Callithrix jacchus: one gene and its partner. The protein of the gene in region 1 interacts with the protein of each later gene in a biochemical or structural test. Links are inferred from orthologs where the notes say so. Each region holds a gene or a part of one and is shown on either strand. Other genes may lie near its edges.

Region 1 (3,985 bases):
AATCCCAGCTACTCGGGAGGCTGAGGCAGGAGAATTGCCTGAACCCAGGAGGTGGAGGTAGCGGTGAGCCAAGATTGCGCCATTGCACTCCAGCCTGGGTAACGAGAGCGAAACTCCGTCTCAAAAAAAAAAAAGGCCCAGACCAAAGTTCAGAGTTTTAGCTTCCTGTCCTATAAAAAGGTTAAGATTCTTAGCTCTATGCTGAGGCAGTGAGTATGAGGAGACTTCAAAATGGCGCAGGTTGGTTGAGCAGGATACGGCAATAGTTAAGTTTGGTCAGAAAATAGAAATCAAAAGGAAAATGTGGCTATGGTCCCTTACCCCTAGCAGACCTTAAATCTTCCTGAGAACCTGCTTTTTTGGGAAGGCATGAGTGCCAGTAAGACTTGGCACTCCTCCTCTTTCCGCTTAACCACAGAAAATGACTTTGCCTTTCTGCTCAAAACTCATCTCTTCACTTTGTCACCCTATGTTTGCATCTTCCATCCTTAGTGCGTTTCTATTCAGTCTTTAAGCAACATACGTACGACACGTTGGACTCTTGGGTAGTCTCTAGGGCTGTAGCAAGGAGCCTTGCTCTCAAGGGACTCAATCCTGTGAACAGACCATGTGTAAACAGTGGCTCAATGCTGTGCCTAAGTGTGTTAGCCCCCGTGGCCAGCCTGAGGAGTTGGGAAAGGCTCCCTTAGGCAAAGAACCCAACCAGAATCAAGTCTTAACGGTTAGAAAAGAACTCCGTCACCCAAAAAGGAGTGAGGGCCTACTGAACAGCTAACGCATAATCTCAGAGCTTGTGAGCCAAAATTCCCTGGAATGACTCCACTTTATCCCCAATCTCCTGCCACCTCCACCAAGGTCCACTCACCACCCTGTCCCCAGCACTGACTGCACTGCTGTGACCACATTAAAGTTTGGCTCAAGATGGAGGAGGAGTGAGGAAGCTACTGCGCCAGTATGGCTGGTTGAGGCTGCCCAAGGTCCTAGAAGGAGGAAGTGGGTAAATGCCATATCTAAAAAGATAAAGCAGCCTCAGGTTTTATCAGGGACAGCAGTTTCCTTCTCCTTCCCCAACCTCTGGTCAAGTCACAAAGCACCACAGCTGTATAGCCAGATGGGGGAAGGGAAGAGATTAGAACCTAGCAGGCTATTCTAGACAGGTACAGACTAGTTCACAGTCATGCTATCCCAAGCAGAAAGTGACGATGTCTTGGACTAGCATGGTGGTAGTAGAGATGGGGTAAAGACTCAAGAGACATCATTGAGAGACAGAACCAACAGGACTTGGTAATAAACTAGTCTCAGGAAAAAGGAGGAGTCATGACTTTCAGCCATGAACACCCACACTCTGGGTGGCCTCACCCACTTCCTGGCGATCCTAGCGACCATGAGTCCAGGGGCTACAACCCTTTACTCTGCCCACTGCTCAGCAAGTTACTTCAGTTTCCAGTTTGATAAGAAAAGACTTCCTGTGGAGGAATCTGAAGGGAAGAAGGAGGAGCTGGCCCATTCCTGCCTGGGAGGTTGTGGAAGAAGGAAGATGGCTTTGTGTCCACTGCAAGCCCTTTGGCTTCTAGAATGGGTGCTGCTGCTCTTGGGGCCTTGTGCTTCCCCTCCAGCCTGGGCCTTGAACCTGGACCCAGTGCAGCTCACCTACTATGCAGGCCCCAATGGCAGCCACTTTGGATTTTCACTGGACTTCCACAAGGACAGCCATGGGAGGTGAGCTGTGAGGGCAGTTCGGGTATTGGGATAGAGCAGGACCCCTCTCGTCACTTCTGCTGGGTCTCCAAGTTTCCCATTTGTGATAGCAGTTGAGCCAGGTGACTTCTGGGGCCTATTCAGGTTGATTTCTTGTCAAGAATGATGGGGTCAAGGGGACTGGCTCAGGTGAAGGTGTAAGGGCGGAACACAGGTGGGGCAATGGGCACTGAAACTACAGCAAGAACAAAGGGAAGGCAAGATGCCTTATTTTCCCCCCCAAGGGTCAGTTCTATGAACCACTCCACCTTCAGCACCTTGAAATGCAGAAAGGAGCACACGTCCTAAATTAATTTGCAGAACTAAAGTTGTCTGCCCTGCCCCACCTTGCTTTTCTATTCCATTTCCCTCATCTCCATCAAGGTTATAGGTATTTGAAAAGAAGCAATTGGTCATTAATGGTTAGTATTGATCAGGCTTCAGAATCAAGAGTGCCAAGATTAGAGTCTTGGCCCCTCCTCTTCACAGCATGTATCCTGAGCTACTGTAGAAGACACTGTGCCCAGCTTCATGGGGTGGCAATGGCAGATAGTCTTCAAGTGTCAGCCACTTAGATTTCCTCTGCTGAATAGAGCCCATTCCCTCAAAGTCCGCTCCCAAGTTGGCCCACATACAGTGACTGATCAATTCGAAGTGGGCGAGTGGGGAGGGTGGAGGCGGGGGTGGGAGAGGTGTTTGATAAGGGTCCAGCCCTCTTTCATCAACTCTGACGATTCTTTTCTTTTTCAATTCTGCTCCTTCTGTAATAAATAGGAAATTACTTTTTAAATCTCTCCTCGTTCAATGGTTTATTATCTACTTATATTTTCCAGTCCTTTTTCTTTATTCTTATTATTTTTTTTCATGTTTTCTTTTTTCTCTCTTTTTTTTTTTTTGAGACATAGTTTTGCTCTTGTTGCCCAGGCTGGAGTGCAATGACTCAATCTCAGCTCGCTGCAACCTCCACCTCCCGGATTCAGGCAATTCTCCTGTCTTAGCCTCCTGAGTAGCTAGGATTACAGGCATGTGCCACCATGACTGGCTAATTTTTATATTTTTAGTAGAGATGGGTTTCATCCTGTTGGTCAGGCTGGTCTCAAACTCCTGACCTCAGGTGATCCGCCCACCTTGGCCTCCCAAAGTGCTGGGACGACAGGCATGAGCCACCATGCCCAGCCAACTCTAACAATTCTGAAGCATCATTCTAGCTCCAGAGCTTGTGGGGTGTTGGCAAATATTGTCATTGGGCCTGAATCAGCTCAACTTCTTCCTGTGCCCACTCCTGCTTCTTTCCCCTCCTGTAAGTAGTGATCCCATTGACACTACTTAAACATCCTGCAGGCTAAAACATATATCATAGGCCAGGCACAGAGGCTCACACCTGTAATCCCAACACGTTAGGAGAGCAAGGTAGGAGGATCACTTCAGCTCAGGAGTTCAAGACCAGCCTGGGTGACATAGTGAGACCTCTTTTCTAAATATATATATATATATACACACACACACACACACACACACACACACACACATATATATATATATGTATTTATTTTTTGAGACAGAGTCTTGCTGTTCTCCTGCCTCAGTCTCCTGAGTGGCTGGGGCTCCAGGGATGCACCACTATGCCAGGCTAATTTTGTTTTTTTTTTTTTTCCTTTTCTTTTTTTTAACATCCTGCCATAAAGTCTCTAGCATGCCAGGCTAATTTTAAAAATATTTTTAGCAGAGACAGGGTTTCACCATGTTGGCCAGGCTGGTCTTGAACTGCTGGCCTCAAGTGATCTGCCCACGTTGGCCTCCCAAAGTGCTAGGATTACGGGCGTGAGCCACCGTGCCCAGCCTACAAAAATATTGTTTTTAATTAGCCAAGCATGGTGTTACAGACCTGCAGTCCCAGCTACTCGGGTGGCTGAGGGGAAAGGATCGCTTGCGTCCTGAAAGTCAAGGCCACAGTGAGCCATGATCATGCTACTGCACTCCAGCTGGGCAACAGAATGAGACCCTGTCTCAAAACAAAACGACAAAATTATTTTTAAAAATTATAACATTGAGGCCGGGCATGGTGGCTCAAGCCTGTAATCCCAGCACTTTGGGAGGCCGAGGCGGGTGGATCACGAGGTCAACAGATCGAGACCATCCTGGTCAACATGGTGAAACCCCGTCTCTACTAAAAATACAAAAAATTAGCTGGGCATGGTGGCGCGTGCCTGTAGTCCCAGCTACTCAGGAGGCTGAGGCAGGTGAATTG
Region 2 (4,208 bases), on another chromosome or scaffold:
ACCAGAATAAGTGTGAATTGTGTGGAGCTTACCCTTTACAGAGGGAGTTAGTTCCACTGAGCTCATTACCATCTTCCTCTTTTTTTTTTTCTTTTTCTTTTTTTGAGACGGAGTCTCGCTCTGTCTCCCAAGCTGGAGCGCAATGGTGCGATCTTGGCTCACTGCAACCTCTGCCTCCCAGGTTCTAGCGATTCTCCTGCCTCAGCCTCTCCAGGAACTGGGATTACAGGCGCCGCCACCACACCTGGCTTTTTTTTTTTTTTTTTTTTTTTTTTGTATTTTTAGTAGAGACGGGGTTTCACTGTGTTGGCTAGGCTGGTCTCGAAATCCTGACCTCACAAAGTGCCGGGATTACAGGCGTGAGTCACCTCTGTTGGGAAAGATGGAGGAAAGCACTTGGCCCTGCAGTTGGTCTGCAGCACCACTTAAAGACTGCAAATTTGGGCAAGCCACTTCTGAGGTAAAAAGGGCATAATGATGCTTAGCTCCTGCGACTACTGAGGGGATGATCGGTGTGTAAAACATTCGTCAGTCTAACAGTTCTAAATGCTAAATAGTACCTATCATCCAAATCGTTCAGTGCAGTGGTTCTTAAACCTGCTTCACCTGTAGAATTTATACAAATGTCGTTGCCCAGGCCCCACCACAGATCAGTTAAATAGGAATCTTCGTAGGTATCCTCCGCACCCATTCTTTCCTCAGGGGATTCATGTGTAGGCAGGAATGAAAAGGTGTTAGTACAAGCCACTAGTTTTACAGAAGCTAGGGACAGCAACGGACTGAAGTTAACAATCCCGTGAGCTGGTTGAGGCCCGAGCTCTCCGGCAGAGGGGCCTCTCGCTCTCGGTTGGGGAGGCTTGCCCCACCCTTTATTATTACGCCTAACACATAAAAAACGCGCAGGAATTTTTTTTTTCGGGGGTTGGGTTGGAATCAAACGCAAACTCCTGAACCAGCTAGAGCGCCGCGGGGCAGAATCATCCGGTGGGGACCGGGACAGCGCATCGAGAAGTGCCCTGGCCCAACGCCCGCAGGAACCTGAACCCCTGGGCCAGCGCTGCCTTCTCTCTGAGAGGTCTCTAGCATCTGCACTGTTAAAGCCATCTGAGCCTCAGGGCAGACTGACGACCCTTACAGACCAGACATTTGGATGCGACCACGCCGGAAATTCCCGGGAATTCAGTCTTGGCTCCGATTCCAAAACAAAAATTTCCTCACCAGCCCGGATCTCTGTCATTAGCCTTAGTCTCTGGTCACCTGATCTATTTAAGCCAATGAGAGGCGGCTGAATTAGTACTTCCGCTTTCCGTGCGCATTAACGAGCCACTATGCCCATCCCTCGGATACTCTGATTGGCCAGCCTCTCTCAGCTCGTCAGTTTATTGGCCAGCGCCGCTAGGCCGCGATCGAGCCGGGTCCGAGAGCTGTGTCAGACGGCTGGGCAGCCATGGCGTCCTATTTCGACGAACACGACTGTGAGCCGTTAGACCCCGAGCAGGAGACTCGAACCAACATGCTGCTGGAGCTCGCAAGGTGGGTGCGGGGGGCTTGGGGATGGAGTCCAGTTAGCAGGTTTCTGGGCTGGGGCTGGCTGAAGAAGGCGGATTACCAGGGGCAGCTGATTCTGGGGAGGACGGATGAGTAATCTGCAGTGTTAGTCCGGGCGGTGAGATTGAGGGGTGTGGGAATGAGCATCTCGATAATTTGCGCCGTCCGTTGGGCGGGCCTGGGCAAGGGAATTGAGGGAAAGACGAGCTGGAGTGTGGTGGACTTGGGGGTGGAAGGACAGCAGGCTCTGGGGGGTCCCGGAGAAGGTGAGGCATGGGGGCGGGGTTGGGGCCATGTGCTGTGAGTGGGTATATTCATCCGGAACAGCAGGCACTGCGGACTTGGAATCTGGCTCCACAAGGTTATTCTGCGTGGCCTGAGTAACTTCTCTGAGCCTGTTGCCTCATGTGTAAAATGGAAATAAAAACTTTACGTGCTGCGGCGGTCTGGTAGCAGCTGTATAAACTATTTCCCATCGTGCTTTTTATCTAGTGAGCATCTACTAACTACTAACGGTAGCTCTTATTCCTACTAGCTGGGCAGGGTGTTTATCGGTTACTGTCCAGTGGATTACTGTGGCAAAGAGAAAGCATAGTTTTCCTTTGTTCTGACTTTACCTCCTCTTCCCCAGGTCACTTTTCAATAGGATGGACTTTGAAGACTTGGGGTTGGTAGTAGATTGGGACCACCACCTGCCTCCACCAGCTGCCAAGACTGTGGTTGAGAACCTCCCCAGGACGGTCATCAGAGGCTCTCAGGCTGGTAAGGACACTAATATTTTCTGCTATTTGGGCCAGACCCACCCCTTCCCCAAGTCAGACTGTGGTCTGGTACTTAAGTTTTCCAGGCCAGGTGGGGCAAGTGTCCTTCAGGAGTGGGAGCTTGGGAGGCAGGGACTGTAGCATCTCTCCTGATCAGCACTCCTTCCCAAAGAGCTCAAGTGCCCCGTGTGTCTTTTGGAATTTGAGGAGGAGGAGACTGCCATTGAGATGCCTTGCCATCACCTTTTCCATTCCAGCTGCATTCTGCCCTGGCTAAGCAAGGTACTGCTTCTCTTCTTCCAGCTGTCACTCTGCTCTGGGCCCAGTACTCAAGCTTCTTTCTGTTCATGGACTGTTGGGGGATCAAAGAAGGGTGGCACTTGGGAGCAGGGGAGGGTGGTTATCAGCTTATGAAGATCAGACAAAGGCTAGACACTACTCTATTTTTCTCAGACAAATTCCTGTCCCTTGTGCCGCCATGAGCTGCCCACTGATGATGACACCTATGAAGAGCACAGACGAGATAAGGTAGGGGCTGATGGTTAAGTGGAGGGGTCTTACTAGGCTCCCTCAGTCCTGTCCTTGCTGCCATCATTTTCCACCTCAGCAGGACTGGACTAGGCCTCAGCAGGCCTGACTCTGGCTGGCTTCTTAGTGACTTTGGTTTGTGGTAAGAGCCTCAGCAATGCAGATGCCAGAGGCCTGAAAACAGAGCCAGCCCCATGATAGTTGCCCATCCCCTCACCCACAGGCCTTCAGTTTTGGCCCCTGCCCAGTGTGCCCTCTTTCCTTCAGGCTCGAAAACAGCAGCAGCAGCACCGACTGGAGAACCTCCATGGAGCCATGTACACGTGAGGAGGCTGGGGCTGAGCGCCGGCCCTCTGCATCTTCCTTAAAACCTTGAATCCTCATTAAAGGTTTCTGTACTCACCCTGAGGCTGTACTGATCACAGACCTGGTCAGGGGCTCTGCATCCTCCTTCAGGTCTCTACTGCTATTGGGGAAGGTGGTCCTAAACCGCAGAAGCAGGCTGTGGTTTCCCTCCCTGCTGGCCCATCTAGACTCATGGCAGTGGATTACTGCACCAGCCAGGGCTCCGGCCTATGTGTTCATGTTTGGAAGGCAGAATGTGTCAGGGTCTGGCACCCAGTTAATTACTTAAAGCTGATAAACTAGCCTGCAGCCTCCTCCCATTGCAATTTCTAGTTCACTTTGAAATCCCAGAGGTTTTCTTTTTCTCCATTGAGAAAGCTGCTTTTAATATTTTAAAGTTGCTCTCTGTACTACCCCCACCTTCCACCCCATGCCTCTTACTGAGGAATCAAAGTTCAAACCAGACTCTGAGTGGGGGATGGGTGAGATTATTAGATCAAGTCAGTTCTTTAGATTGTTTAGAGGCCCAGAATGGTTTCAAGCCCTTCAACGGGTATTTGAATGGTACCTGCCATCCTTTGTTTCTGGCAGCAAAGTGTGCTCAGCACTCTCCTGCGGGGCAAGGGCTTTCTCTCATCCTTGGCTTATGGAAAGTCATCCCAGATCAGGTCCCCCCCTTTCCCGACTCTCCAGAACAGACTACAAACATGCAAATTAGAATTCTTTTAATATAAAAAAAAGTACTAAAATACCCACGTGGTTCTGCTGTGTTATTTGCCCTAAAGGAAGTGAGGGGCAGAGTGAAGAATCCCAGTGCAGCTCAATGGGCCCAGAAATGGGCCTTTCCATAGGCTAAGGCGTACCCGCTCCACCTCCACCAGACTTCTATCCCCACTGCTGTTCCCAGCCCCCAATTCCTGCAGCAGGAAACCCCAGTGGTCTGGCTCTGGCACTGGGAGTAGAAGGCACCTGAAGGGCTGGCTGGGTGAGTGAGGACAGGTGACCTTTAAAAACAAAACGACACCA

Evidence for each region. The genes of interacting proteins can lie anywhere in the genome.
Region 2: the proteins of ITGA2B (region 1) and RNF181 form a complex in vitro, tested with the Homo sapiens proteins (2 studies listed by BioGRID). The link is inferred for Callithrix jacchus from reciprocal best matches to the Homo sapiens genes ITGA2B and RNF181.

What each region holds. Positions count from the first base shown.
Region 1 is NC_133506.1:71,227,171-71,231,155, reverse strand, and holds the start of ITGA2B (integrin alpha-IIb), read left to right. Parts: upstream 1-1,185; 5' UTR 1,186-1,330; coding exon 1,331-1,719; intron 1,720-3,985. UniProt on the Homo sapiens protein: Integrin alpha-IIb/beta-3 is a receptor for fibronectin, fibrinogen, plasminogen, prothrombin, thrombospondin and vitronectin. It recognizes the sequence R-G-D in a wide array of ligands.
Region 2 is NC_133515.1:27,429,392-27,433,599, reverse strand, and holds RNF181 (E3 ubiquitin-protein ligase RNF181), read left to right. Parts: upstream 1-1,408; 5' UTR 1,409-1,447; coding exon 1,448-1,533; intron 1,534-2,179; coding exon 2,180-2,310; intron 2,311-2,481; coding exon 2,482-2,591; intron 2,592-2,762; coding exon 2,763-2,837; intron 2,838-3,104; coding exon 3,105-3,164; 3' UTR 3,165-3,933; downstream 3,934-4,208.